4 linked regions of the Alligator mississippiensis genome follow. The protein of the gene in region 3 interacts with the protein of the main gene of each other region in a pairwise test. Links are inferred from orthologs where the notes say so. Each region holds a gene or a part of one and is shown on either strand. Other genes may lie near its edges.

Region 1 (7,512 bases), on a different chromosome or scaffold from region 3:
GCCCCGATCCTCAGAGCCTGGAGCAGACTGACCTGCGTGGCACAGATCACAGGCTTCCCCGCACGGTTGCAGCAACCAATCATCATTTTCTGCGCCACGAAGACTTTCTCTGCTGGGATTTCAATGCCCAGGTCCCCGCGAGCCACCATAATCCCATCACTGGCATCCAGGATCTCATCAAACCTGCAGGGCAGAACAGGCTTAGCTTCACACGGCTCAGGAGGTGTCCCCATCATACCCACCCCAGGCAAGACATGCTACTGAAGGCGTGTTCTGGGAGCTCAGGGAATGGCACGTGGCTGCCACAAGAGTGGGTGCCAGCCTGGCCACAGAGCTGAGAGCTCGTGGGACACAAGAACGTCCAGAGCAAGCCTGTGTGTGCCTGATGACCCCATGCAGGTAAGTGCTGCTGTGGCCCCCCGGGGAAATGCCTTTGGGGTGGGCATGATGCCCCATCCCCAGCGATGACATGTGGGGCAGAGAGGAACATTTCTCTCCCCTGCTGCCGCGGCTGATAGGCAGGGGGCAGACAACCAGGGACACAGGGACAGTTACTTCCTGACGCCCTCATGGTTTTCAATCTTGCTGATGATCTTGATGGTGCGGCCCTGCTCGCCCAGCACAGCCCGGATGGCTGCCACATCAGCTGCCTTGCGGATGAAGGAGGCAAAGATCATGTCCACGCCATGCTGCAGCCCGAAGTGCAGGTCGCGCACATCCCGCTCTGACACAGCTGGCAGGTCGACCTCCGCCCCTGGCAGGTTCACGCCCTTGCGGCTGCACAATACCCCGCCATTCTCCACCTCCGTCACGCAGCTGTTGGGGCCTGGGGCAGGGAGAGAGGCAGTTCCAGGCCCTGCGGGGTCCGTGGGGCACAGGGACAGGGGCTGGGATGGGCACCCCAGTGGGGACTGGCCGGGGCAACATAGCCATGGTAGGGGCTAAAGAACAGCGCAGAGCATGGGGATGTAGCATAGAGCTGCGCCGGGGGGGGGGGGGGGGGGCATTGAGGAAGGTGCAGACACTCGGCTAGTGCCCTGTACCACCCTGGGCTGGGCAGGCGGTGGTCAGAGTTCTGGGGACATAGGCCCGGGTTGGGGGTGCCCTGTGCCACCCTGGGGTGGGCGGGCGGCAGAGCACTGGGGGACGTACCGATTTCCTTGACCACCAGGGAGATGAGCCCGTCGTCCACAAAGATCTTCCTGCCGACCTTTACAACCCTGGCGAGGTTTCGGTAGTCCACCCAGATGACAGACTGGTCGCAGCGCTCCTTGTAGGCCTCGTCGGTGGTGACCGTCACGCGGGAGCCCTTCACCAGCTCCACCTCCATGTTCTCACCCTGCACAGGCACCGCACGATCGGGGCTTCAGCGTGCCCAGCTTGATTGGCAGACCCATCCAAACCGCACCAGTCCCACCTGCTCCAGTGTCCCCCTGCCAATTCCCGGACCCCTTGCTTTCTGCTACAGGCCAGGGCAGGGCAGCCTCCCACCAGCAGCCCCTGCCCCTTTCCCATCCAGCTACTCTATACTCACCCCTTTGATCAGGCCAGTGCGGATCTCAGGGCCCTTGGTGTCCAGGGCGATGGCCACGGGGCGGTAGAAGAGAGGATTGGAGGCGAAGCTCTCTGTCGCCTCCCGGATGTTTGCAATGGAGCCGGCATGATACTGGCAGGGAAGAGCTAGGGCTGCAGGGGGGCTGCTGTGCAGAGCTGTGCTGCCCCTGCCCCTGCCCCAGTTTGTGGTCTCTGGTCCTGCCCCTTCCTTTCCCATCAGGGCCCTGTCTGCACCTGCCCTTCAGGGCCCTGCTTGCCCCAGTCAGGGGGCTTTGGGCCTTGCCCTGGATCCACAAACTTGTCCCCATCTCAATATCCTCCCTTGCTCCAGCCTGCGAGGTGGGGGCTCCCCCGCTGCCCCAGTGGGCAGACGCTCCCTAGCTACAGCACCCTCTCCCTGTGCCAGGCTGGGGGATCCCTGCTTCCACCCGTCTGTGGGGCCTGGCCCCTACCCACATACCTCGTGTGAGCCGTGAGAGAAGTTCAGGCGTGCAATGTTCATCCCAGCCTTAATCATCTCTTTCAGCATCTCCACGGAGCGGGAAGCAGGCCCTGGCAGACACAGAGGCTCAGACCCTCCTGCCCTCTGCCCAGAGACTATCCCACCCTCAGGGCCCTGGGCCTTGCCCCAGCCCCTCCAGGCAGGTCTCCGGTGCCATCCTGTGGCCCGGCACCCCCAGCTCTCCTGCACAGAGTGGTTCTTGCCCTTTCCCTGGGAGAGCAATACCTATGGTACAGACGATGCTGGTGTTGCGGGTGGTGATGGGCACCGAGTCGATGTCCAGCAGGCAGAGGTGCTCCAGGAAGGTGTCCGCCCGGGACGCCCTCAGCTGGTTCCTCTGGAAAAAGGCTGTGCCGAGCTCCTGGGTGAGCTGAGCCATGTCTTCCAGCAGCCACGGCCTGATGACCCCTGCTGAGACAGGGAGGGTGCAGTTGCACAAATGCTGCCAGGCGCAGCCCGTGGGATGGCAGCCCCTGCCCCCCAGTGCCGGGCTGGGAGCAGCAGGAAGTGCCGAGGCCTTCTTGGGGCAGTGCCAGTGCCCCCTGCTCAGGGCAGCGTGAGCGGGGAGTGCTAGCTGCATGCCGCCGTTGTGCAGCCATCGACTCGGCGGGCACTTCCCCCCTGGTGCCAAGGTCCTGATCATCGCTCAGCGGAGGGCTTGGACCCACCTTCCGTGTGCAGCCCCAGTGCAGCCCGTCCTGCCATGGCTGCCTCCCTGCAGCCCAGACCCCCACCCCTGAGCAGACCTCTGACACGCCAGAGCTCATTAAAGTGTCACCAGAGCTCGGCCAGCTTGGACCAGAGGTCATTCCTGCGTGGCCTGGGGCTTTGCTGGCTGTCGGGCTCATTACAACAACCAGACCCCGAGACGGGAGCTGGGAAGGAGCTGGCAGCAACCTGGGATCAACCTGTGGCCCCTGGCATACACCGGGGCCCTCTGGGAGCAGAGCCAGGGCAAGCATCCCCACATGGTGCAGGCCCAGCGGGAAGCAGGGGCTGGGAGCCGGGATCCAGGCCCCAGGGACCACAAGGAGGCTCTGGGGCCAGTCATCTCACAGCAGCGTGGTGTGGACAGCTCATGTCGCACTGCCCTGGCGTACGAGACAGGCTCCCTGGGGCCGCACGGGCCGTCCTGGGGCCAGGGAGCAGCGAGGCTGGCAGCTGCGATGTGCAGAGCAGGCCTCGGCACCGGGGTCCTGGGCAGGCAGAACCAGCTCGCTGTGCGGGCGCGAGGGGCCAGGGCCGGGCAGGGGCTGCAATCCGGTCCCACGGCTGCTCCCGAGCCAGGAACCACCCACCTCGTTCCGGTGCTGGCCCGCTGCTCCGGCCCACGGGAGACGCCCCAGATAGGAACTAGGAAGTGGCAGCTCTCCCCTCCTCCCTGCCAGCCCCTGGGCAGCTCCCAGCCTCGCCCCTTCCTGCTCCTTGTCCCCACCCCTCCTGCTCCAGCCCGGCCCTGGTCCCGCTCCACCAGCCGCCGCTTCTCCCTGCTCGCCCACGGCCTGGGGCGCCGGGGCAGGAGTGGCGGGGCAGGCTGGCAGGGGGAAGGAAGCTGTCAGTGGGAGTCAAACGGTGGCAACAGCCCTGGTCAGACCCTGTTCAGTCTCAGCCTGCACCTGGCCTCTGTGCCACGCAGGAGACGGGCACAACACCCTGTGGTCTGACCAGATAGAGCAGGGAGCGGCAGGCAGAGCAGCAGAGGGGCAGTGAGCAGCAGGCAGAGCAGCAGATATAGCAGGGAGCGGCAGGCAGAGGGGCAGGAAACGGCAGGCAGAGCAGCAGATATAGCAGGGAGCAGCAGATAGAACAGGGAGCGGCAGGCAGAGGGGCAGGGAACGGCAGGCAGAGCAGCAGATATAGCAGGGAGTGGCAGGCAGAGCAGCAGAGGGGCAGGGAGCGCCAGGCAGAGCAGCAGATATAGCAGGGAGCGCCAGGCAGAGCAGCAGAGGGGCAGGGAGCAGCAGGCGGAGCAGCAGATATTACAAGTAGCGGCAGGCAGATGAACGGAGCTGTAAGGAGCAGCAGGGATCGGGGAAGAGCTAGTCGGGGGCGGGGCCTAGGGGGCGGGGGCGGGGACACCCACTGTCAGACGGCTGCTGAAGGATTACGGTACTTCTGCCTGCGGGCCCAAACTTCCTCCTCCAGCCAATCCCGAGGCTCCGCCGGGCGTGGCCCCGCCTCGCCACCCGCTGACTGGCTCATCCCCCCAAGGGCCCATCCTCATACGATGGGAGGTGGCCAATGGGCGCGGCCTCCCGAGATGGGACGGGGCACCGCCCCGCCCCGCCCCGCCGCGAGGCAGGCCGGGAGTTGTGGTCCCGGCGGCGGCGGCGGGCGCGGGGCTGGGGCCGCGCGCACTACAGCTCCCAGGCGCCCCCGCGCCGCTGCCGGGGTTTAAAGTGGGCGGGGCCGGCGCGCGGAGTGGAGGCGGCTGCGGAGCAGGTGCGGGGAGCACGGCTTGGACGGGGCGGCTGCTGCTGGGCCGCGCGCTCGCTCTGGTGCGCGGAGCTGCGGGGCCGGGCCTGAGCCTGAGCGCGCCGCGTGCGGCAGGGGCGGCGATGGGCGCGGACCGCCAGGCCTTCGAGGGCTTCTTCCCGCAGGTCGTGCGCGACCTCACGGCCGACGGGCTGCGGCACCCCGAGGTGGGCGACGCGGTGGCCCGGCTGAAGGAGGTGAGCGGGGGAGTAGGCTGAGCGGCGGAGGGGGGAGAGGCTGTGCTCGCCCTCGCGGGGTGCCCGGGGTGGGTGCCACCGGGCCGGTGTCAGCGGAGCTGTGTGCTTGTCCCCACAGGTGCTGGAGTACAACAGCCCGGGCGGGAAGCACACGCGGGGCCTGACCGTGCTGGCCGCCTTCCGACGCCTCGTGCAGCCCGAGCAGCAGGGCCCGGACAGCGTCCGGTGCGCGCTGGCGGTCGGCTGGTGCATCGAGCTGGTGAGGCCAGGCTTGGGGGTCCCGGGTGCGGGGGGGAGCAGGCTCCTGAAGGGCCTGGGGGCACCATGGACCCCGTCAGGCTCCCCACCAGGAGGCTGGCACAGCCCTCGGTGCCTGGGGGGACCTGGGCCTGAACCGCTTAGTCCCGGTGTGGTACGAGAAGGACTTGTTCTTGTTGCAGCTCCAGGCTTTTTTCCTCGTGGCAGATGATATCATGGACTCGTCCCTCACCCGCCGGGGCCAGCCCTGCTGGTATAAGAAGGTACCGGGGGCTGGGGCAGGGGCTGACGGCACTGGGCATCGCTGCTTCCAGGTCCTGCCACAGCAGTTCAGTCACCTCATGCGTCCCCTGGGCAGTGCGGGGCTCTGTGCCATAGAAGTGCTTTTCCAGTCGCTGCTCGCCCACGCGAGGTGCTCTTGCTTCACATTTCTTTGCCAATTCGTGCTCTCGTGTAGTTGCAACGTTTGCCCCAGCCCTTCCCGGGCACGCGCTGCCCTGGGATGTACTATCCTGCCTTGCTGCAGCAGTTTACCCTGTTCTTGTCCTCCCGTGATGTTCTTGTCCACGTTCTGAATCGGTGTTCCCTGCGCTTCCGATTCCCACGGCACATCTGGATTAAAAGGGGCCGTGCGCTGCCTCCTGACCCTGGAGAAGGGGTGCGGTGTGTTTGGGCTGTCTACACGCATGGGCCTGCCCACCCCTTTGATTCTGTGGCTGGGTCCTATCATGCAGAGCTGGGAAGTTCTTGGCAACAGTGTTAACTATCACAGTTTCTACACCACCAGACTTCTGCCTCATGGGGCTCCCCATGCTGACGCCGACAGATGCTCCTTTGGTGCCGTCACCCCTCATGGCACCCATTGGGAATTGTTATTCTGATGCATTTGGGTGTTTTGCCCAAAGCTTGAGCCTTGCAGCTTGAACTCTCACTGCTGCTGGCTTGCCTTGTGGTGCGTGTAGGGGAGGATTGAAGCATGGAGCCTGGCAGAGGGTGGATGGAAGAGGGCTGGCTCTAACCTGCCCTGGGCCTTCTATTGCAGGAGGGGATTGGTTTGGATGCTGTGAATGACTCCTTCCTTCTTGAATCCTCCATCTACCGGCTGCTGAAGAAATATTGCCGGGGGCAGCCCTACTACCTGCACTTGCTGGAGCTCTTCTTGCAGGTGGGGCTGGCCCCTTTGCTCCCATTTTCCTCCTGCACCCTGATTGCCGCAAGTCAGCTCCCCTTGGGCACGTCTGATCTCACTCGGGTCTGCAGGTCACTGTCAGAGAGCTGCCACATGCCTGCCGGGAGGTGCAAGCCCCATGCCACGTGGTGGCAGCTGCTTGTTCCCCTGGATAGTCTCTGAGTGTCCAGGGATGGGGCCTTCAGGGCCATATGAGCAGCGCATAGTGGGGCTGGGACCTCACGTCTTCTTCCTCCTCAGACCAGCTACCAGACGGAGCTGGGACAGGCTCTGGACCTCATCACAGCTCCCCCTACCCAAGTGGACCTGGCCCGCTTCACTGAGCAGAGGTGAGGCCTAGTGGGTAAAGCCTGCTATCTGGGGGCAGGTGCAGTGACTGGGGCAATTGTGGCTCATGGACGCGGCTGCCTCAGCAGCGCCCATTGCCCTGCAGGGCACCTCTGTGTAGCTGAGGGGTAGCAAGGAGCTTCTCTGGGCTGCTCCCCCCCCTGGCTGCTGTCTTTACAAGCCAGAGGCTTTGACATCTCTGGGGCAATGCTGTAGCCAGTTGTCCCTGGGAAGTGGCTCCAGTGTCTGCAAGGTGCTCCTGGCACCCTGTGGGCCTCGGTCACTGAGTGTGGCTCCTGTCTGGCAGGTACAAGGCAATTGTTAAATATAAGACAGCTTTCTACTCTTTCTACCTGCCTGTCGCTGCTGCCATGTACATGGTGAGTGTCCTCTGCAGCCCGCATACTGCTGGCTGACATGGGTGGGCAGGCAACTCTGCTGTGGGAGGGAGTGTGGTGGTGCGCATGTCTGGGGGGGTTGGGGTAGGCTCTGCTGGCTGAGGACCTGGGGGGGGAGGGGAGGGGTGTATGTGCAGCAGAGGACCAGGGTTGTGAAGGGTCTGGGCTAGAGGCCGAGGCATCTCCATTCTCTTCTCTCCTTGCAGGCTGGCATAGAGAGTGAGGAGGAGCATGCCAATGCAAAGGCCATCCTGCTGGAGATGGGGGAGTTCTTCCAGATCCAGGTAAGAGACCCCTTCTCCCATAGGTGCTCATGAGACCCTGTACTCTGGAAGGTCACAGCACAGTAGGCTTTGTCTGCCCACAGGATGACTTCCTTGATTGCTTTGGGGATCCAAGCTTGACAGGTAAGATTGGCACTGACATCCAGGACAACAAGTGCAGCTGGCTGGTGGTAGAGTGCCTGCGCCGGGCCTCTCCAGAGCAGAGGAAGCTCCTTGAGGTATTCTCACTGGGAGATTAAGACCCTGCCCCCCTACTGGTGGCCTGTGGCAGGGGCAGTGGGGGTTGCTGCCTGGCTTACTAATGCTTATGGGGGAAGCTCCCTGTGCA
Region 2 (8,027 bases), on a different chromosome or scaffold from region 3:
AGTATCACCACTACAAGAGAGAGCACTGAGGCTACTACAGGCCTCAGTAGTCTACCAGTCATGACCTTTTGAATTAAATGAAACAAGACTCCCTGTACAGAGGCTGATAAACTGAGATCCTATGTTTAAAGGGCAACTGGATATTAGAAAAATGAGTGAGAGTTCAAAACTTTGAGTATAGACCGAGCACAACAACTGTTTCCCAAGAGAAAGCAGTGCATTCCTATTTTCTCAGACAGCAAGTCATCTAACACGAGGCAAAGATAAGACAGTCTTGCCTTTTACTGATGACCTCAGGATCCAGACAGGCATTCAATCTGAACACCAGAAGTTTCCAGCACCATGAAAGTGAAGTGAGAAGGGGGCTATGGAGGCATTCCAGCTCCTTAGCTGGAGAACTAGACTGTGGTAAGCTCTCCTGCCAGGGGCAAGAGAGGGTTGCTCTTTGGTTCCTCCAACCTAGATGGGAGCCTGATCACTGACAGCTTGTGCTCTCCCCTGCCCAGGAAGATGCAGGCTGTTAGTGATCAGCTAGCAGATGCTGAAAGACAGCCTCCAGCTCCAGCTCGAGCAAGTAACCAACCACTCTTCTACCCCCGACCTCTGGCACACCCTCAACTCACTGCACACTCCCAGAGACACCCAGGACCATTAAAGGCGCATAGGCCAGTGGTCCTACCACCTGAACCATCCCATAGCTCACCAGGATGGTTCAAAGAGCAGGGGGAAGCAAGATGGTTCTTGGGGCTGCAGCCAGAACACCAGCACTTGCCCATGATCTAGCCATGGGAATGCAGCTTCTTGTCACAAGCAAGAGTCCATGCTTCAGCCGCATCAGTGGTACTGTGGAGACCTCTGCCCTCCTGCCAGCACACTGCCAGAGGGCAGTCACAGTAGACAACTCTTCTGCTCACACAGCTGAAACACAGCCCTTGCACCAAGTGGTCCTGCTGATTGCTAGACTGGGTAGGGGGCCACCCATAGAGCCACCCCCTGCTTGGTCTCCTTAATCTGGGTGCTCTGTCAGCTCATGGCTGGGTATCCTCCTTCGCTCCAGGAGGGCGGACACTTTCGGCGGTTGCTCCCGGTGGCTGGGCCGGGTGCCGCATCTACAATATTGCCAAGAAAGGTTCGCGGAGATTTTCGGGGACACGGTTTTCGGGACCCTAGATGCCCATCTTGGGTTCCAGGAGGTCGGACAGGGGAAACTCCGGGGCAGGACCCTGCTGCAGGAGAGGGTCAACCCCGAGTTTGGCTCCATGTCGACTGGTGCTCCGGCCCGGGGGCGGGCCGGGCGGCCTGGCCGGACGAGAGTTCCAGGAGCCCGGCCGCGATTTCTACTTCTCCCCGGTGCCCTGCACGGTGGCCGGGCGGCCCCGGGCGCGGGCGGCGGGCTGCTCCCGCGGGGGAGACGAGCCGCCCTAACGTCCGGGAGGGAGGCACGGGGTCGACCTGGCTCCCGAGCTCCGGCCCTGGGTATCAGGATCCACGCACTGTGGAATACTCAGGGTCCCAATGCCACAGACATCGCACATGGTGCTAGAAAAATTCAGTGGCAAAGTTGCTAAGCCAGCAGCTAATGGTGGAATTGCTGTCTTTTCTGCCCCACAGGCTGCCTGAACACCTGCAGGCCTACGTTTGCTTCAGGAAAGCGGAGTGTTTCCCCGACATAAATGAAACACCTGCTCGCATCCGTAGGGGAGCCATTTTCTCTTTCAGGCAGCTGTGGACCAAACCTAACTGATCAGCGGAGGCCTCACCTGCAGCAGCAATCACAGCCATAGTTTTCTCTCTGTAGTAATATAGTAGGAGTGTGAATCTAGACAGAGCTCAGATTTTTATCCCCCATCAGTCTACCTTGTTTAAGGAGCCATTACTTAAACCCAAGAAGTAGAAGGGTAGTGTGGAACTACCTAACAAACATTATCCAGTCATCTGTGGCCAAGGTGCCCAGTACAGAAGAAGCAGTGAACTACATCTCTATGCCTGCTTGCTCCACTGCTGCTGCCAGCCCCATAGATTGAGCCCACCAAGGAGCCCCACAGTTCAGATCTGGCCAGGGGCAACTCCAACACCCAAGTTAATGGAGTTAAACTCGTCCTTCCCTTAAATACCCCTTCTCTAGGCTGGAGCTCGTTAGGGCACTGGACAGGCACAAATGCTGAGCACAGCAGCAACCTGCAACAAAAACGGCCTGCAAGTGGCAAGTCTACAGAGCAAACTCCCTACCACGAGGTGTTGTGGAAGCCGATAGTTCAAAAGGGGACTGAACAAATCCTTGGAGCAAAGGGGCATTGGTAGCAATCCAGCACAGGGGTAAATTAGGAGCACAGCCTCTGAATCACAGCTTCCTGGGCCCTACACCTGGAGGCTGCTGGTGGGAAACAGAGGAAAAGCCACATCCTGCTCACTGTCCCCTCCAGCATCCACTCTGCACCCCAGCTGCCGCGGGCCTGGGCCCAGCAGAGCCACAAGCCTGGAGCAGGCAGCGACTTGAGGCTGGGCACCGCGCAGGAGGAAGCGGAGAGGGCGCGCGGGCGGCACGGAGCAGGGCACGGCCGGTGCCCGCCGCCCTCTGCAGTCTGTGACGTGCGGCCCGGGAGGCGCCGCCTGAGGGGTCCTGGGCCTCGCCGGGCCGCGCCCCTGAGCAGCCGGACGCGCTCGCCGACAGGAGCCCCGGGGCTGCTGCTGCTAGGGCCGGGCTGGGCGCTCACCTTGATCTCGCTGTCCAGCAGGCGCGTGCGCTGCACGATCTCCTCCGTGGACATCTTCAGCACCTCCTCGCCCACGCCGTCCTGGGGGGGCACGGGGTGGTCAGCGGCCGCTCCCAGCACCCCCATCCCTTGTCCCCCTCCCCCGGCCCCCTCACCTCGGCCTCATCCCAGACCGACGCCATTCTTGCTCTGTGCGAGTAAACGCGGCCCGGCGTCACAGACCGCGGATTCGTCTTAGGCCGCGGCGGGAAAGCCTGTCCCGGCCGCTACGGGACCGCGCTGCTCCTCCCCCGCCCCCCGTGTCGAATCTGCTGCGTAGAAACCTGCCCCGCCGGTCACGTGACAGCGGCCAAATCTGCTGAGTGATGGCTCCGCCGCCATGTCGATGAGGGACAGCGCGGAGGCGGGGCCAGCTGCAGGGGCCGCCCACGAGCGCTGCTCGGAGCGGAGGGGGCGGGGCGGAGCAGGCCCCGCCCAGGAACGAGCGCGGCCAGCGCGGGTGTAACCACTTTTATTTCCAGGACAAACAGCTCGCGGCCCCGCCCCCCGCGCGTCACAGTCTGGGGCGGGGCGGGGCTGGGAGGTGGCGCCGGCGGCTCAGACGAAGCCCGGCTTGACAGTGGCGCGGCGGCAGTGCGGGCAGCCGCGGGTCCCGTCCGTCTGCAGGCACCTGCAAGAGAGAGGAGGCGGTGCTCGGAGCGGCTCCTGGCCCCGCCCGCTGCCCGCGCTGGGGCACTCACACGCAGGAGGAACTGAAGGGGATTTAAGCGCAGCTCCGAGGCGCCTCCGGGCCTGTCCCCGCCGTCCCTCCAGGCCTATTTCTGAGACCCGAGGAGGGGGGCTGCCTGCCAGCCGGCACAGGGGGAACAAATCTGGCTGAGGCTCAGTAGACGGCAGTGTAAGGGGGCCGCCCCTGTGCAGGGGAGATGCCCACAGGACAGAGTCCTCTAGACAACAGTGGCCTTGCCCATCACTGCTCTAGCCCTGGGCTGCTAAACTCAGCTCGGGGGGGGCACCCCTGAGCAGCCACCCCTCCCCAAACCCTCTGCCAGAACCGACCTCCATCTGGCAGCCCCTGTCCCCCGTGCTCCTTACTTGAGATGGAAGAAGTGGGAGCAAGGCAGCGCCTGGAGCTGGTTGTTCCTCTCCCCGATGGACTCTCCGCACAGGCCGCAGTACAGCTCCATCTCCTCCACACACTCGTGGAACCGCACCACATGGCCGCGCAGCTCCCGCTGCCGCCCCTTGCTGCGATAGATGCTTTCACACAGGCAGTGAAGCTTCAGCAGGCCAAGCTAGTGGAAGAGGCAAGGGCAAAGCGGACACCGAAGGCCTCTAAAAAGGAAGCCTCCTCTAGCCCCACAAGGCACACAGGCCAAACCCAAAAAACACCAACCTGCTAAAAGCCAGGATGTTTAGGGTCAAGATAGAATTAATTCCTGTGGGCTCTCAGCCCTCCCTGTGTATCCATAAACCCTCTGGTCCCAGTGAAGGAGGTGAGAGGGTTGCAGCACTCCAAGCATGCAGCAACCTATTCACCAAGCTGGCTTTCCTTAGCTTTTCTTTCTACAGAGGAAGCCAGCCAGCATACAAGCCAGGCACAAGACTTGTTTATCTGGCTCATTAATAGATAGATGCCTGGGAGATGTTCAGAGAAGAAATCCCTAATCCTTCAGCTGTCCTCACCACCATCCTGTTCCTGCCCTGCTGTTGGAGCATCTTCTATTTCTGACTTCACTAACCTGCTGTGGATCCTTATTAATTTTTTAGCTATTACAGCAGCCAGCGTGTGCCCACTCCATTCAGAACTACCCCCTCCCTCTCTGCCCACTGATTCTTGCACAAACTAAACACCTGTTCCAAGATAATTGACTTTGAGGCTTGCAGCTCAAATTTGCCTCAAGGAATTACTGGTTAACCCAAGTTTGGGGAGGATAAACAGGCAGTAACTTTGAGATTGGGCACCTTAGTCTTCCTACCCCCAGTGGAGGGGAGCTGTGAGAGTGAGCCTACCTTGTTTCCCAGTCCCTCTGCCAGCTCCTGGGCCTTTTCAGTGCTTTCCAATGCCTGTGGGATGGAGCAAAAGATCACAAATACCAGCATAGGTCATAATTTCTCAGGCTGATGCATCAGAACCAGCTGTGCACAGCATAGCTAAGGGCATGATGGAGAAAAAACAGAGAGCTAGTGGGTCAGGATTAATAAAACATTGCCATGATAGAGTAAAAGCAGAATGGCTCCTAGGAAGCAAAACAGTGCGCCCTGGAGGCTTTCTGAAAACTGCTTGTTGCTGTCTGAAGTTGCACAAAATTTGGCAGGTACATTCCTCCCCACCCCAGAGATGCTTTGAGTGGAAAGTTGGCATGGCCTTAGCAGAGACCAGAGTCTTCAACTGAGGAAGATGCAGACCTTCTGGGACTCTGGTGCAGGAAATCACCACAGCTGAACTTAAGCACAAGCACAGCAGCAGGGTCAGCAGTCTTTGGACTTCAGGTATCTACTTCCACTACTATAAAAAGGACAGGAACAGGGACAGACCAGCATGCCAACAGGCACACAGCTACCAGTGAGTTGTTCCTATATCAGCTGCCAAGAATCCATGTGGTAAGATGTAGGAAGTTGTTGCTGTGGCCTCTCCCACCTGTGGGGAAGTGTTGCCCTTCTCACAGCTGCTACACTGAATGGCAGTCAGTGGCAGGAGGATAGGTTAGGGCTAATACAGACCCTGCCTGCCCTCCAGCCACTTTGCCCATCCACTGCAGCATGGGACACATGGTGGTGGCAGTGCTAGCTCTGGCATAGGGCACACAGTGGGTACTTGTGCTGTCACTTCATGGTCCTTTTCCCCAATGCACAATCGTCTAGATGTCCATTCCTCTCACTCCACACTTTCCTCTAGAATCATAGAAATGTGGGGCTGAAAGTTACCTCTGGAAGTCATTTATTCCAACCCTCCTGCCCAAGGCCAACCATCCCTGTCTATATCATTGCAGAGAAGAGTCTAACTTGCTCTTAAAATCTTCCAAGGAGGGAGATTCCACAACCACTCTAGGCAGTCTGTCCCAGTACTTAACTGCCCTCATATTTAGAAAGGTCTTCCAAAGAACCACCCTAATTTTCCTTGTTGCAGTTTAAGACTTACTTCTTGCCCTGTCTCCTGCAGCCATGGAACAGTGTCTGTCACTCTCCACTTTATAACCACCCTTCAAGTAATTGGGAATGTGTTAACAAATCCCCGCTGCCTTCTTTTCTCCAGACTAAAAAATGCAAATTCTTCCAAGCATTTCTTGTAAGCCATGTTTCCTAGCTCTCTACTCATTTCAGTTGCTCTATTCTGGATTCCTTCCAATTTCTCTCTAAGGCTTTGGAAATTGGCCATGGCTGAAGACTGAATGCTGAACAGGGTGGACAAATGCTCTCAAGTTCAACAAAGACTCCTCCTACTTAGATGCCCAACTGACTTTGCCATCATGTTCAGGATGAAACTGATCACCAGATTTGGAGTAAGGAAGGAATTTTGTTGGATTACTGGTCAGAATGGTAGATTTGTGGGCTTTCCTTCACTTTTCTCTGTAGCATGGGCATGGATCATCTGCTGGGATCATCTAGACATTTCTTGTCTAATCAATTTCCTGCTATCGCAAGGGCCTTCAGCGTTAGTGGTCTCTTCTGCTATACCTGTGCCACACAGCTTGGTCTCCTGATGTCTTAAATGCTTTTATTCAGTTGAAGGATTTGGGTTAGCGTACAGTATCTGGGTGACATTTGCTGGCCTGTGCTATGCAGAAGGTCAGACTAGGTGATCTGCTGGTCTCCTCTGGCTTCAAACTTTTCAAACGCTATGAAATTCCAAATCTCACCAGTACTCTACCAGCAGCAAACATCTGTGAAACCATCCCCCCATAGCTCAAGTTGGCAGAGGAGTGTATGTTGGATCTAAATGTTCAGCCTTGCTGCTGACCCTTTGATAGCCTTGGTAGGATTTGATTTTTATTGATAGACATTGATTTCATCTGACACACACAGACTGATGGAAAACTATTTCCATCAGTAATCATTGAAATTTACACCAAAGGGAAACAAAAAAAATTCTGGGATGGAGGTAAGGAAAATTGGGGCAGGGGTGTGCACATACATACACACACCCAGGAGCCTGGTGCTGCTGTCTCCTCACTCTGCCCAGGTCCCAGCTGGGGCAGGGGCCAGTCCCTGCGAGATCAAGGCAGGGGCCAAACGCTTGTGGAGGATGGACCAGGCAAGGCTCCATGGGCATTTAGCCCAGCCCTTGGCTGGGACTTGAACACAGCAAGGGGCTGGCAGCACCAGGCTCCCAGGCTTTACCAACACCCCGCCCTGGGCACAGCCTTACTGGCATAGCCCCCAGCTCCTGCAGCAGCTACCACACGTGTACACACGAATAAATTAATTTAAAATAAATTGAAAAATACCTGATTTTGTGCCGTCCTGAAAATGTCAATAGATAAAAATCATAATAGATGCTTAAAAATAAACATTCATTTTAGCCATCAAAATTTAAAAAAATTAATTCTGCCAGGCCTACCCATAAAATGTCACTAGGAGTCTGTGTGATGGGTGTCCTGTTTCTGAAGTTGGCACTTTTACAAAGAACATAAGAAATTATGACCTAAAACCCTCTATCAAAAGAACTTTATGGTTGCAAAGTCTAGCACTCAAAATGCTAGGAAATGACAGCATTCCTTGCATGTATGCATTTTGCAACAGTAACTACCTGATCATAACCTATTTTAGCCATAGGAGCCTTGTCTCATTAAACGCATACGAGGTTAATGAATCAGGGCTGGCTAATGAAGACACCTGGTGACAGTAGGACCCCAGCCATACTTGTTGCAGAATTTGGAAGATATGTAATGTATGAGATGGGATTGGAGGAAAACAAAGGATGTTATAAGGTATATGAATGCTGCCCTAGATTCTAGTACCACATCTAAAACACAGAAACACTAATGCCACTTTACTAGTTCAGAGTAAATTTCCTGGCCTGGTATCACAGACTTTTAATGAGTGATCCCCAATTGTGTATCACCTATTTTCTATGTGCCAGACTTGAGATACTGGGATCTCTACAGAGTACTAAGCAGTCAACATCTTAGCTTAAACCCATGAGAACCATGCTTTGAACACATAATGCTAAGTAGTCTGAAAAATTATGCTCTAGGTGTCTCAGATTGGACACCCACAATTAGCGGAAAATTTCAAGCTGAATCTCTGTTTTTCTGTTCCCCTTCTGTAGAATGGGGATAAAAATATAAAATGGTTGCACATTTAGTGAGC
Region 3 (6,925 bases):
CTAACGTTTTAGAAAGTGAAATTGGAAATTCAATGACCAAGTAAAACACACGAAGGCCCCAATCTTGCTAAGAATTACAAACATGCTTATAACAACACGTTCTTTGAGGTAAGTGATAATGCTGATGCCAGTTATCCATCACTTTCGTTCTGCTAGTCAGAGCACGTAAAGTTAGGCACGCCGTTTGGGGCCTAAGCTGTTAGCCCTCAGACCTGTGATATCTTTCATGCACAATTTCAGCCTTCACATGGTTAAACACCTAGCCCTCTAAAAAGATTAGACTGGGGACTAAACATTTAGATAAGCCTGGAAAAAAGTTTAGAAGGAGTAGCAAACATTTGTTGATTCACAAACAATAAACACTAGAGTAATTTCCCTGACTAGGTCAATATATTTGCATACCGTGCACAAATGTAAAAACTGCCTGATGCTGTAGCACTCGAGGAGCATCTTTCACATACTCAGTGGTCAGGAAATGATTACAATATGCTGAAACATTCTGCAAGAAGACAGAGCAGTCAGCTATGCAGGCTGCACAACATAAATACAGTACATATACCGCTTGAGGTAGCCTAGTCACAAGACAAACACACCTGAATGGACGATGAATACTGTCTGTTACCATGGCAGCCTGATCTAATTACATGACTGATCAGGGCTAGAGTAAGTGCACTGAAAACCTACACCACTGACATGTATCTACATGATGACAGAGAGATAGACAGGCAAGAGTTGAAGAAAACCTATCAACCTTTGCCTTACATAAACGGCGATAATAAAGCCAGCCTTTTCTAAGAATTGCTGCCTGTAAAATATTGGACCATTTTTTTATTTTTATTTTTTATATATGCATGTATGTTTGGAGACAATGAGACAAAATTGTAAGCTGTTCTAAGAAGACACCTTGCTGCATCTCACCAAAAAAAAAAAAAAGCTACGGCATATTTTTTTTCTCTCACCCTCAATTTTCTCCCCCTCATTCATAATCCTTTTTCCAGGTTATAAAACTGAACTGTCTTCACCATCCAAAGCAACATAACTACATTAACATGCTATCTGAATTTTGCAGTAGCTAAAGGTCTGGGTTGGAAACTGAAATGAAAAGCCCTCGACTTACCTAATATATAATCAAAGTAACCGGCTATGCCAGACCATGTCTGACATGCAGCCTACCCCTGCTGCATAAAATAGATAGCAGGGATCCTTACGTTTTAAGGAGAACCTGCATGACGACATACGGATGTCTTCATGCCACCAAATATAAAAAGGCTTTGGAGAACTAAGGTCATCTGCCTCCCGCATTTCTTATTTGCTCATAAAGGGCAGGCGGAAGGGACAGTGGTTTTTTTACACTGCATTTCTAACCCAGGCGTTCATCAGAAGGCTTCTCTTTTTCATTTTTTCATTTTTTTTTTACTGATTATATCCGGAGTCCAGCCTCACCCAGGGGGGGCCAAAGAGTGGCTCCCCCCCCCCGAAAACTTGCTGCCTGCAAGAGTCCCCATTGCCCTGCGTAGGGTAAACAGAAATAAAAATAGCTCAGCCTTCTCCTTATATAATGCGCTGGGAGGAGAGGGAGGTTTTCTCTCCCGTGTTTCCTCTTCAGCGACTGCTCCCCATCCCCGCTCACATCCCAACAGGCCTCACTCTGGTCATAATAATGATAACACTAATACTACTACTACTAATAATAATGCGATGGTTATTATTCCCCCCCCATCAGCCTCATCACTTCTGGTGGGAGCTGGACTTGACAAGGCTGGAGGGGGGGGTGTTATTTTGGAGGTGGTTTGCAGGGCAGCCGGCTCCCAAGGGCCCGGGCAGGCGGCCGGGCCGGACCGGACCGGGCGGCCGGGGGGGGCGCTGTGAGGGCCCCGGAGCGCCGCGCCCAGCCCCAGGCCGTGGAGCGGGGCAGCCAGGCCTGCCCTGACCCCGGCCCCGCGCCAGCCGGTGCCTGCAGCCGGCCTGCGCACGGGCCCGGAGCGGGAAGGCTACTGCTGCTGCCGCCGCCGGCCGCCTCCCGCGCCGCTCGCTTCATTCGCCCCCCCTACTACGGCCCGGCCTTGCAACTCAGACCCCTCCCCCACGAGCACCCCCCCCCGGCCCCGGCCCTCCTGCACCCCGCCTGGCACGGCACAGCACAGCACAGCACAGCAAGCGGGTGCAGGGACTGCCCCCAGGGCATCACAAAGCCCTTTCGCCCAGGGGCTGCGCGGCGAGGGAGGGAGGGAGGGAGCAGGAGCCCCGGGTGCAGGAGGGACAGGGTAGGAGATTCCCCCCCGCGCATGCACAGCAAGGGGGGGGGGGGGTGCAGGGGATCACAAAGCCCTTGTGCCCACAAGCTGGCATGCAGGGGAGGGGGGCAGGAGCCTGGGTACAGGAGGGACAGGGTAGGACCCCTTCTCCCCCTAGCAGACGGGGTGCAGTGCGTGCCCCCAGGGGATCACAAAGCCTTTGTGCCCAAGAGCAGGGGAGGGGGCAGGAGGGACAGCGTAAGAGATCCCTTCTCCTTCCCCCCCAACCCTTGCATGCACAGCAAGGGGGGGGGTGCAATGATCCCCCCCACACACACTCCCAGGGGATCACAAAGCCCTTGTGCCCAAAAGCAAGGAAGGGACAGGGTAGAAGATCCCTCCCCCCGTGTTTTTTTTTTCCAGCTGCAGGGAAGGAGGAAGGGGGAGGGGGAGGCAAAAGCAGAGGAGAAATAAAAAACCACTTACTGTAAAGTGTCACTGGAGGAGGGGCGGGGGGAGGCAGCAGCACCCAGCCGGGCCGGGCCGGGCGTGGGGGTGCTGCAGCGGGGCTGGCTCCTCCGGGCTCCTTCCTTCCTTCCTTCCCCCGCGGCGGGAGTGAGTGAGTGACACGCGGGTCCCGGCTGCCCCCAGCGCCGTAGTAGATGCAGGGATGTCTGCGGTACGAGGCTGCTCCGCTCCCCGGTATGTCAGTGTGTAAGCGAAGCCAAATATGGAGCAGTTGGCTGCCTCTGCAACAGCTCAAGGATCCGACTTCATGCACAAGGCAGGGAGGGAGGAGGGGAGGGGAGGGGAGGGAGGAGGAGGAGGTGGAGGCAAGGCAACACTTTGGCAGGCGGCCAAAGAGAGCCACACATTACAGCATACGCACAGCAGAGCCGAGCCAAACCGGCCTTAACCCTTTGCAGGGCTCCTCCGGCCTCTGCCAGGCCAGCTCTGCTCGCTGGCCTTGGGTTAGGGATGCACGGAGAAGGAAGCGCCTTGTGGGTGTCTGGTAGAAATCAGAGGGAAGTCAGGCTGGAAAAGACCTCCAGAGGTCATCAGGTCCGACCCGCTGCCGGATGCGCTGTCAGCCCTAGCCAAACCATCCCTACAGCCCTCATCTGAACTCTGCAGAAGTCTACACCCAACCCTGACTCAACAGAGACCTAACCCCGACCCTGCCACAGGTAAAGCAGGGGAACCACGGCAGCACACATCCTGCTTCTATACAACCCTGTCAATACTTACCTGGCAGGAGAAACACCATGTATCTGAGTCCCTGAAGACAGTTTTCCTTGAGCGCTTGGAGGATAAGCGCTCTTCTGGTGTGGTTTAGTACCTGCCAAGGTGTTTGGGCTTTAAGTCCATTTCATGGAAAGGGGAGGTTCCTCCCTAGCTTGCTCCTGCAGCCATATGGCTGAGGGCAAGTGAAACTCAGGCATCCCCAAGTTGGATGCCTGCCAAAAGATGTTGGAAACATCTGATGTTCCTGGTATGGGTAGAGGACGTTTGCTGGTTGTAGGGCCACTTATGGTTCTGGACTGACTCACGGATTTGGACTTGATTTGGCTTGGAACATGACAATTTCTTTAAATATATATACATGCTCAAGGGGCCTGTGTCTGGCCAGCAATCTGGTTTGATCTCCAAGGTGCTCGTCCTGTGGAGCTGGACCATCCTACTCACTCCCAACCCCAGGGGTCTCTGAGGATGGCCAGCATTCCTGTGGCTAGCTAGAGGCTGCCTTGGGGAAGCTGCCTTGTCCTGGCCACCATCCCTCCTGGACATGGTGGAGATCAGCTGGTCTCACCTAGGCTGGGATTCCTCCCCCCGACTCCTCACCCCCCAGGCCTGTGAGATAGGTGCCTGCCTGAAGGTGCCTGACAGAGGGATGCCCTAAGGAAGCAGAAGCCAAAGCCTGCCTCTCTTCTCCTAGGAAATCCTGCTTAACATGCTTTGTACAGGGGCCAATCCTATTAGCAGGGTCTACTTTGTTTCTGCCCATGGTACTTGCTCCCTGATCAAGGCTTTGATGACTTTTACTCATGTCCTTCATTAAACCTCAAGAAAGGCCTAGTCAGACTAGGTAAATATAGATACTAATGGCCCTCTGGACACCCTAATACAGTGGAGTCCAGTCTTTTTTGGCAAGCGTGTCACAGATTAGCCCCAAAACCTCCCCAAAGGGCACTCTGATCTCCTTTCTCTGATCTATCTGCTGCTCTGCTTTCTGCCCTGGGCTTCTGCTGGATCTGTTGCTTTTTCTGCTGCCTGCCCCATCTGCTGCATTGCTTCCTGTCCTATCTGCCACTGTGCTGCCTGAGTCCTCCCCAGTCTGCCATGTGTCATACACAGGCTGCCCTAATTTATTCCAGGTATGTGCAAGTGTAGTACTCTGTGTCAACAGTGCACAGGTCTGTTTAGGTGTCACCGCCTTGATTATACCTGCTCTGAGGCTAAGACACTCCCAATTATTGCCTTGGGAAAAATGACTTACTTCTCCATTGTGGTTCAGCTTCCACTAGTTACTGTCCTGTGTTCCCCTGGAGGAGGACCTTGGGTCTCAGCGGCTCCATTACAGAAGGTCAGGGTGACAGGAGAGTGACACCCTTGGAGGCAAGAAAGAGTCCAAGAAAATGTCCTGTCTCAGAGACCTCTGGACTGGCTCCAGTTTCCTAGAAGACAACACAGAAGAGAACAAACCATTATCTTAGTAGCCAAAAAAAGGGGAGAACAAAATTGAAACTGAAGAGGGTACTGGGGAAGTGAAAGCACATCATAAAATCAAGTGCTGTTCCTCCTAAAGCACCAAAGCCCAATGCTGGCCATGCTTGTTGTATTACCTACTAACCTACTAGGTCCTGGTAGGGCCTGGCAGTGAGTCCAGAAGAAGTTTTTGACTGCCACAGCATTAGCAAGTGAGAGGACACAGCACAGAGTAACCCTTGTTCTTTATTATGCACAAGCATCTTCTGAGGCAAAAGTAACCACAGTGGGAACACGCACAAATGCCCTATGTATGCTATAGACATAATGACACCTGCTCTAAGGAGAGATGTGCTGAACATTGTAGCATATGTACAATGCCTCATAACCCTTGGCAACACTTAAAAGAGGTTCTAATTTGGACCGAACATACTGCATTTCCTCCAAACAGGATAACTCGTGTGGCCATTCTGTACTGTCACTACTTGCACCAGTTCACTCACACCAGTGCAGGATCTCAAATGGCACTTTTTTAGTTTAGATGCCCCTCAGGTGTCAGTGAAGCATTTCTATAACTTAGAAATATATTACTCACTAAAGAGCAAATGTAAACAATGTTGTAAGCTGCCAAGGTTTTGACCTATAGGAAACAACAATCTAGTATAGGCTTATGAAGAATTAGGTTCTTTTATTGTTGCAACGTCTAAACCTTTAGTTAAGGTCTGCACAAAAGGATGGCATTCTCTGCTTTCTGAGTGCTTTGGGGACAGAAACAAGCCTAGGCATTTGGAGACATGCAACTCAGCATCACAGGGTAGCCAATCTGCAACAGCAAAGCAGACCTCAGTAGCATCCTCTCCCAGCTTATGCAAGTTTAATTAATGTAATCAAAGAAAGGACGAGAAGGTGAATTACTGAAAACCACGTAAAAGTGCTAGTGATGATGCAACACCTTAATCTGGGTTCAGCTCAACACACACTGCATTCTCTCCCCGTCACCTTGTTACTTCTGTACTTCAGAGAGTTACCTCAGTAGAAAGGAATCTCTTCCTTCGGAGATGTTCGCCTTGCCAACAGGTGTGGCACATACGGAGAAAGAGAAGCCACATTCATGCTGAAGCAAGCTTTGGACAACTTTCCCCTTTGCAACAGATTAACACTGCTCATTCTTCCATTCTCTGGCTGTGAAGTTTGCCATACTTTGCCATGGAATAATGTTTTTCAAAATGTAAGCTTTATCTATAGTTCTAGACCTCACAGTTAAGAAGAACCCCTTTAAAATGTAAAACTGAATATAAACAGATGCAGCATGGAGTTCCTGGGTTTACAAACAATTTGACTAGGGCTGACAAAAGATTTTAAAAAATCATAGCAATTAATTGCAAGATTAAAAAAAATAGTCGCAATTAATCGCACAGTTAAACAACAGCCAGTACCTCCTCACCACCCGAGCCTGCGTACCCTGCGGGTGGTTCCTCTGTGCCACCACCAACAGCACACAGCCCCAGCCTCGACCCTGGCCCAGACCGTGCCTGCTACAGACTCTCCCCAGCTGGAGTGGACCAGCCAGAACCTATGCAAACAGCCCCATCCCTGGCCTGCCTCATGCCTGCTCCAGATTCACCTGCCCACATTGAGCAGCAGCAACAGCCAGGCAGAAGCTGCTGCTCAGCAAGGAGGAAAAGAGGCCCCTTACCGTCACTGCTGCTGAGCCCATCTTGCTGCAGCTGCCTGAAGCCCACACCTGGGTTGCCCTGTGGCTTCTCTGCATTGCCACCACTGGGCAGCCCGGAGGTGGCAGTGATGGCAGCAGAGAGAAGCTGCAGGGCAGCCCAGGTGTGGGCTCTGGGTGGCTGCAGCAAGAAGGCCCCAGCAGTGATTAGGAGGGGCATTTTCTTCCATGCCAGCTAGCAGCTTCTGCCTGGCCACTGCTACTGCTGCCACTGCTCAGCGTGGGCAGGTGTGTCTGGAGCAGGTTTGGAGTG
Region 4 (7,952 bases), on a different chromosome or scaffold from region 3:
TGTACATAATAGTCCCTAAAATGAGGAACATAATAAAAGAAGCATCACAAAGCTTTTCCACATGAGCCAGCCAATCAACACCTATCCATTGCACGCAGGGCCTGGCTCACCAAGAATGCTCTTAATATGCATAATGACAAGAGTGAACCATAACTATAATCTTGCTACCAATGACTCTGAAAGCTTATTTTTAGAGGTTTTTAAGTATAAAAAAAATTTAAAGAACGCAAAAAGAAAGGCCACAGAAAGATACCAAAAATAAAAATCAGCATTTTACTAATATTTATGAGTTTTGTGGCTTTTGCCTTCCCTGATGTAAAAGATACTGGCCACTGCCCAAAATAATATATTTAACCAGGGACGACTGTGTTGAATCTATCTGATGGCACTGAACTTCCTTTAATATATTATCGGCCTCGTTCCACCATGCAAGGAAAAAAAAAAAATCACTAGCATGACAGTACTTGGAAGTTTTTACTTTGGTATATTTCAGGTAAGAGTAAAAAGTGGGTCATAATACACTCTCCCCAACAAGACAAAATTCAAAACACGAAGTCAATCATGAAATTAAACCATTTTCATTTTTCTTTAGCATACATGCCTGGTAATAGGCTTTCTTGATCTCCTTTTGGGTAGCAGTTCGAGGAACTCCCAGTATCTGGTAATAATCTTCTTTGGTGCAAGAGGAGGAACCAGTATGAAACAAGGCATTGCATATTAAAGGATAATTTTTAGTTCCTAAGAAAAGCCAGACAGAAAAGAAAAAAAAGTCAAAACAAGACAAATTGTAAGAAACCACAGACCTTCCGCAGAACCTTTCCTGGTGCTTCACGGCCTGCTCTTGTGTACAGGTTTCCCCCGCTTTATACTGTAACATGTGTTCCTGGAAAATGGTGCATAACTCAAATTCGCATAAAGAGAACCGACTTTACAATGTAACAAATAGGGATACATTCTAATACCTCGACTTACTGACCACCAGACCCATTTCTACCACTTTTACAAGGTAATTTTGGTACTCACCTACAGCAGACAGTACACACAAGCACAGGGCATAATCATAATGGGGATGGCAACTACAGAAACGCATGTCGTAGACAATGAGTGAGGAGCAAAGATCCACACAAGAGACTATATTTTGGAGTGGGTCACTCCCACAATGCACCACACAAAGCAGCTGACTGGGCTTCCACCACGCCAATCACATAAGAATAAATTTACCTCGCATATAACACATTTTTGGTATAAAATGGGTCATCACATAAGAGCAAATTTGCATGTACAGAACCCACATAAAGTGAGGGAAACCTGTATTAATAATCAAGACAGTTACACTGAAAAACTGCATGGAATACTCCATCTGTAAAAGGTAAATAAATATGAGGGGTTTTTTAGAAACCATTTCTTAATCAAAAACAGCTTCTACTTTTTTAACTTCAATTTAACTGAAGATTGTAAAATGTATTGAAGCTTACACAGGATGCTTAATTTGGTACGTGCAAAAAAGAAATTTTATTTAGAAAAATATATATATACCAGAGCTAAAATTACCACGCCTTTAAGATAGTGATGGGTGCCAACAACCAATGCAATAATTATAGGGAGAATTCTGACACAATTTAAGATTTCATTCACAATTTTTTTTAGCAACATCCCTGTATGTGGCCAACTTCTGATCACAGCAGACAGTAGATATGTGGTGGTGTGACAAAGAAGCCATTCTACTTTTCACAGAGCTTAAATCATGAGATACCATGGAGTAATATTCAATTAATTTTCTAGCATTTTATAGTTTTAAGGTAAGACTAAAACCTGTAACAGTGAAGTTACAGGAGACATGCAACTAACTTTAAGAGAAGCAAGCATTTACTCTTCCCCAGACTCTTGAAAACATGAAGAGATTTTAATGCAGCTTTAGAAGCATTCTGCAGGTAAAAGCAGAGCAGTCAAATAATTTCATATCTTAATTCCATTATTCTTCACAAAATAAGATCTAAGAGATGAAATTTCCCTCCATTTTGTCAAGGCAGATCTTGCTCAATAGAGGCAAAGAGGTTTGCCCTGTCCTCTAAAATGAGCAAGATGAAAACTCATTTTGACCCCCTGAAAAAAAAAGAAGGAATTGAAATGGTGGGATTAATTTACCTGGCTCCCAATGGCTTGACCTTGGACAGAGAAGGACAGCTGACCCTGCTAGCCTGTAGGACTTGTGCTATACATCTTTGATTTATCTAGCCTATAAAACATAAGTCTGCCCCACCTTCCCTCTAACCCGGACAACACTAACTGCATCGTTGGTGTCTTCAACACTAACTGCGTGGGTAGGCAGCTTTGGGGTGGGCCTCACACAGGCCAGGCTCTAAAACGGGAGGATGTGAGGATGAGGAACAGGGGCTTAAAGCTGATCTGGAATTTGCTGAGACGGCACATGGCGCCAGTCCAACAGGCTCCCGCTTATTTACAGCACTCAAGGATGGGCTCGTGCACGTCGGCCCTTCCGAGGCTTCCAGCCAGCGCGGGGCAGAGGGAGACACGGCCCGCACCGCGCTGCAGGAGAGGGCCGAGCACTCCCGCCTGGGGCAGCCTCCTCCCCAGCTGGCAGCGGCACAGCGTCTCCGGGCCCTGCTGCCGCCGAACACCCGCACGGAGGCGGACGCAGAGGCCGTGACTTGAGGGCCGGGCCAGGCCGCCTCCCACGTGCCTCCACCGTCAGCACGGCAGGCAGAGCCCCCGGCGCCCTCTCCCCCGGGCCGCGCGGAGCCAGCCCCCACCGCGGCGACGGCCTCGCGGAGCCCCCGCCCGGCCCGGCGCTCACCCGCGGGGCTGACCCCGGCTCTCAACGTCAGCAGGCGGCTCCCGGCCCCCGCCCGGGCGGGGAAGGCGGCGGCGGGGGCGGCGCTGAGTCCCCGGCTGAGCCGCAGCAGCACCAGCCGCGCGGTCCTGCCGGCGCCCCGGACCCCCCCGAGGCCGGTGGCCGCGGCGCTCAGCCAGCGCGGGGAGCAGCCGGCCGCCATCTTGGCCCGTGCGCCGCGCTGCGCCTGCGCCCTCCGGCCCGGCGCACGCGGGCCAAGGCGCGGAGCACTGCGCCTGCGCGCAAGCTTTGCCCGGCCGCGCGCGGCGAGCACTGCGCATGCTTCCGTGCCGCAGCAAAGGGGGCTGGGCTGCGGGGGGGGTTCGTCGCGCCCGTCCGTCCCCTCGTGGAGAAGCCGGTGTTTCCGCGTCTCCTGTTGGCCCCGTATTTTTAACAGCTGCCTCGTGCCCGGGCCGCTCCTCCTGCCCTGAGCGTGCCGCGGCGCCACGCGATGCGGCCCAGGCCGCTTGAAGGTGCCACTGTCTACCCTGCCCAGCGAGACGCGCTGCCTTCAGCTTCTGCCCGGGCAAATAGACCCGGCGGATCGTGCTGGCCGCAGGCTTTCTCATCCCCAATCTCGGATTGTCACTTTCTCCCTCTTGCTACCTGAGAGGCCTTTTTGTGGCAGGCTGGAGCTGCGCTTGCTTTCTGCCCATTTCCTTTTTAAAACAGCAACTAGACATTTGACTTGTGTTTTTTATAAAAATCCTTTATTTGTGGTCCATTAGTCCAGGTGCTGCATCTGCTTTGAGCTCCCTGAAGTCCAAGGAAACAAGCCATTTGTAGAAGACTATGTCAGTTTAACATCAGGTGCAAAATGGGTCTGTGCTGTACAACATGCCTGCTCAGCCTGCACTTGTGCACCTGGGACACACGCAACTTTAGCAGATGCTGGAGCTCTCTCTCCCTTCTGCCCTTGGCTCACCTCCTGCCCCAGGGGAAGGGCGAGGCCATTATCAAAGCACTGGAGGTACATTAAGTGCAGCTATTTGCTCTGTCCGGTCCTGGATCCAGGAGATCACATTCCAACTGGCTATGTCTATTTCTGAGCCTTCATGCGCAAAACATTACGAAATGCAGTCTGGCTTCTTTTTTCTTAGGTTATAGATTTTGCATTGTTAAGCAGTAGATTATGTTGTTTTCCATGTTATGGTAGTGAAAGATCATGTCATTTCTGAACCATCATGGCTATGCCATCGCTCTTACACTACCACGACATGGAAGACATTGAAATCTGACACTTAAAATGGAAAATCCACAACCTAAAGAAAAAAGAAGCCAGACTATACCGTAACAATTTCTTAAGCTTACATGGCTGTGCCTGGCTTGTTCTGATCAGGGCTGATGAAGAATGTCTTGCATTTAAAAGCTTGTCTGACTCACAACTACACAGCTGATCCAATAAAATATATCATCCTAAGAAATCATTGCTACTCTTTAAGAGCAGAGAATGCACATTTAGAAATAGAGGTGGATTCATGACAAGTACACAGCTGAGGGGAACATGCACTTCTTAATTAGAAAGACTACCTTTAAGTAACTGAAAAGAAGCCATGTTATGTTTCTCCCATCCCCATAGGTACACGTGGGAAGTGATGATAAGCAGTTGGTGAAGAGATAAGGTATATGATATCCTAATATTAAATGTGGGTAGTGTGAGAGTAGGATTTTGGGACTATCAACATCTGTGTGGAGTCTTGCTTCACATGTTTAAGTGGGTATGGGCAGTATTGAAGCAACTGTACTTATGATCTGAATTCCTAAAGAACCTTCATCAGAGAATCTCAGAGCAGTAGACATGAACTAGTTAGTTATCTTAATATTCCAAGAAAGTAGGCATATCCCTGTTTTACAGATGGGGAAACTCAGGCACAAAGCAAGCCTGATATTTTTTTTAATAACTTCATTTTTTAACAGTAACTTTGCAGTTGCCGACCTTGTGGTTACCAAAGGTCATTTCCAAGTAAGTAGCAAACTGCATGTCTGGTAGGTAGATGTCTAAATGTTAATTGTAACAGATGCCAGGCTGAGATCCTTTTAATAGTTTAGTCCAAAGTAATACATCCAGGTCACACAGCAAGTTAAAGCTGGAAGCAGAACTAAGGTACCTGGAATCTCCAGTGTCATCCCTATCTGTTTCATTGTAAATTGGGTTTGCTTTATGTGAATTTGATTTATGCACTGTTCCCTGGGAAGGCATCTGTTGCATAAATCAAGGGAAATCTGTATAAATACCTGCCAATATAACATGTCTCAGGGCAGGGAGGTCCTACTGTAAGGACTCTCTCATATGAAACATGGTTTTTATTGCTGTCTTTTCCTCACTTTTTTCCTTGAAGAATGGGTGGAGGCATAGGGATTGGCTAGTTCAGAGGGTGGGGAATAGAGTAGGGACCTCTCCCTTCTAGAGGGCACCAGCAATGATCTACCTCAGGCAGGGGCACTGGCTAACTGTAGGGCAAGGAAAGAGCAGAGGGACTTTTCCACTCCCAGGGTTATTAGCGGAGCAGCTTGCCCATTCTGTAGATACAAAGTGCCCTCTCCTCTCTCCCCTGCAGCAAGTTCAGGTTTTGCTGAGCACATTATTTCCTAGGTTGGACTCATCTGCAGAGAATGAGCTGTTTTCACCTTGGACTAAGCTGCTGGGAAGGGCCTGCTTGTCATGTGGGCAAGATGCAGGAACCTACCAGGATCATCCCAACATGGAAGGACTTGAAATCCCAGTATAACCGTTCGGTACTGTACAAGGGTTTTTTTTTTCAAAATGCATCCCTCTTGGGGACAATCAGTGACACCTTCTTGAGCATGCTTGGTAGGGTAATGGTGATGGCTGGTGGCCCAGTTGGGTCAAAGAGGTAAACTCTATCCCAGGAGCCAGGTTTGAGAGTGCAGCCGCTAGGCCCAGAGAGGAGTGATCTGAGGAAAGTAGGGGCCTGGCCTGGCCCAGCCTCACACCCAGCCCATCAGAGCTGGGGCCTGTGACTGCCACTCCAGCTGTGCTGAGCCCCTAGAGGCCCCAAACCAGGTCTGAGCCCTTTTTTCTTTTTTTGGGTAGCGGGGCACACATACAACTCCCTAGACCAGAGTGGGCTGAGCAATAGGTGGAGACCCTCAGAGCCTGGGGGCTGGCTACACAAAGGCCTCATGCTCCACCTGCACACACTATCTCTTAGGGAGGCTGGTGGCTCTTGAAAACAGAAAAAAAAACTCCCCATCAAAAACCACTTTATCTTCTATATCCCTGTCTATCTGTGAGGAGGCAGTTGGAGCCCGGCTTGTGGTGGGGCAGTATTGGTTTGAGATGCTAGCTTAGCCTTGTCTCCTAGTGCCAGCAAAGCCTAACCCCTCACAGGAAGGAAATAGTGCTTCTGCTCTTAGCCAGCTCAAGGCTTACACTGGTCAAAGACTCCTGCTCAGTCCTTCTTGATCAAAACATCTTTAGAATACCAGGCCTGCAAGCTGGGTTGGAAAAACTATATAGTATGTCTGTCTGACCCTTTGAAATAATTTCCTTCTGGCTCTGTGAGATAGTCAAAGGGCATCACATTTGCTCCTGCAAATGAAGTAGCTTTTCAGAAAACAGCTAAATATGGGGGACACTTTAGTTTGCCAGTGTAACCCTTCTGCTAGGCAGTGGATGGCAACAGCATGGGTCAAATTTAGATGGTTGTCTTTTGACACACATTATCCAACTTAGCTCAAGCCCCCACCCAGAAACCTGAAGAAAAAAATGCTGCTTGGTACCTCCAGTGTGAACACACCTCCAACTTGCAAGCAGTAGCAAACTTACAGTTACATAGGGTCTCATAAAAGTGAGACTTATAAGCAATCTTGGAGAAGACCGTAATGGTCTGTAGTCTATCCCAACTAAGTTTTCATAGTATATCACAGTCAGTAGGACCAGATTTCTCCCCTAGTTCCATGCAGGGACAACTTGGTAGCTAGGGCAGACAAGGTAGCTGCTGTCCCCAATCTTTCCCCTCTCCTCTCCTTAGTGTAACTGGTACTCTGACAGAGGATAACTGCTCAACAGTTGCTACTGCCACTCCTCACCACATCTGAGGTTCTCTGCTCCACTGGTGCTGCTCCTGGCACCGCTCCTTGTCACCACTGGGAATTGCTACTCCTCTTCCTGTTGATGAAAGCACACAGCTTTTTTAGACCTTGGGCAGAATGCTGGATCCCCTCTTCTAGGATCTAGTGCAGGGGTGGGCAATTTGGGGCCGAGGGCCATCTAGGGAGTTTTGGGGACCTGTTGCAGAGGAGGTTAGCGCCCCACCCTGCAATAGCTCACCAAGCTTCCCTATGTGGAATGGGTCTGCAGAGGGGGAGGGGAGGAAGGGAGATGGTGTGGGTGTGGGCAGCAGGTTCAGTGTCCAGCTGCCATTCTACCCCAAGGAGAAGCTTCCCCCAGTCCCCAGGGGGAAGCTGCTGCCTGTGTCCACAGCTGATGCCAGTGCCTGCCCAGCATTGCTTCTGGCGCATGGGCCAGGAGCTGGTGTAAGCTGTGGCACTGTGCTGGAGGTACAGGACAGTTTTTTGGGGAGGGGGATATACAGAGAGGCAGCTCTGCTCATGATAAGCAGTAGTGGCCGGTGCTAGGCGCCTGGCAAAAGCTGAACCTGGCAGCGAGCACGCTCATCACTTCTGAGGCCCTTCTGGCTGAGGCTGCCCATAGCCTGCAATGCAGCCAGGGGCGGATTAAGATTCATTGGGGCCCTAGGCAAACAGAAAATTGGAGGCCCCCCACACCCCATTATAAATATGAAAGTATCAAAAAGCATTAATAAACAGACCTGTTAAATGTTTGCATGGTGCATTAATAAATAAAGCACAACACGCAATGTTAAAATTAAATACTTAATTTTGCCACACACAAAATTTAATAAAACAATTGCCTTCGAAAAATTACTCAGATGCATTGGATCGCCATAAATGTATAACAACATGAAAGGAATGATGTTGTAATTTAGTGGTCATGTAGACTCTTGTTTTACAATTTTTTCCCCCGAGAAAGATCATGTGTGTCTGAAAGCTTGCAAATAAACTTTTTTTTGCAACTATTCAGTTGGTCTAATAAAAGATAGCACCTCTACCCAAA

The links.
Region 1: the proteins of ATXN1 (region 3) and FDPS interact in binary tests that used the Homo sapiens proteins (3 or more experiments, as listed by UniProt). The link is inferred for Alligator mississippiensis from reciprocal best matches to the Homo sapiens genes ATXN1 and FDPS.
Region 2: the proteins of ATXN1 (region 3) and PSMC3 interact in binary tests that used the Homo sapiens proteins (3 or more experiments, as listed by UniProt). The link is inferred for Alligator mississippiensis from reciprocal best matches to the Homo sapiens genes ATXN1 and PSMC3.
Region 4: the proteins of ATXN1 (region 3) and DNAJA3 interact in binary tests that used the Homo sapiens proteins (3 or more experiments, as listed by UniProt). The link is inferred for Alligator mississippiensis from reciprocal best matches to the Homo sapiens genes ATXN1 and DNAJA3.

Annotation. Positions count from the first base shown.
Region 1 is NC_081838.1:12,575,498-12,583,009, reverse strand, and holds the start of FDPS (farnesyl pyrophosphate synthase), read left to right. Parts: upstream 1-4,474; 5' UTR 4,475-4,614; coding exon 4,615-4,728; intron 4,729-4,846; coding exon 4,847-4,987; intron 4,988-5,168; coding exon 5,169-5,249; intron 5,250-6,028; coding exon 6,029-6,151; intron 6,152-6,415; coding exon 6,416-6,504; intron 6,505-6,809; coding exon 6,810-6,882; intron 6,883-7,106; coding exon 7,107-7,184; intron 7,185-7,267; coding exon 7,268-7,402; intron 7,403-7,512. Other genes in the region: pyruvate kinase PKLR, read right to left, coding at 33-183, 556-826, 1,153-1,339, 1,535-1,666, 2,015-2,106, 2,282-2,435. UniProt on the Homo sapiens protein: Key enzyme in isoprenoid biosynthesis which catalyzes the formation of farnesyl diphosphate (FPP), a precursor for several classes of essential metabolites including sterols, dolichols, carotenoids, and ubiquinones.
Region 2 is NC_081825.1:228,398,608-228,406,634, forward strand, and holds the start of PSMC3 (26S proteasome regulatory subunit 6A), read right to left. Parts: upstream 3,006-8,027; 5' UTR 2,897-3,005; coding exon 2,870-2,896; intron 2,796-2,869; coding exon 2,715-2,795; intron 1-2,714. Other genes in the region: RAPSN (43 kDa receptor-associated protein of the synapse), read right to left, coding at 3,312-3,384, 3,810-4,009, 4,728-4,781.
Region 3 is NC_081826.1:129,980,152-129,987,076, forward strand, and holds the start of ATXN1 (ataxin-1), read right to left. Parts: upstream 3,023-6,925; 5' UTR 2,721-3,022; intron 1,878-2,720; exon of another isoform or gene 403-1,877; intron 1-402. UniProt on the Homo sapiens protein: Chromatin-binding factor that repress Notch signaling in the absence of Notch intracellular domain by acting as a CBF1 corepressor. Binds to the HEY promoter and might assist, along with NCOR2, RBPJ-mediated repression. Binds RNA in vitro.
Region 4 is NC_081836.1:25,252,943-25,260,894, reverse strand, and holds the start of DNAJA3 (dnaJ homolog subfamily A member 3, mitochondrial), read right to left. Parts: upstream 3,030-7,952; 5' UTR 3,015-3,029; coding exon 2,816-3,014; intron 739-2,815; coding exon 602-738; intron 1-601. UniProt on the Homo sapiens protein: Modulates apoptotic signal transduction or effector structures within the mitochondrial matrix. Affect cytochrome C release from the mitochondria and caspase 3 activation, but not caspase 8 activation.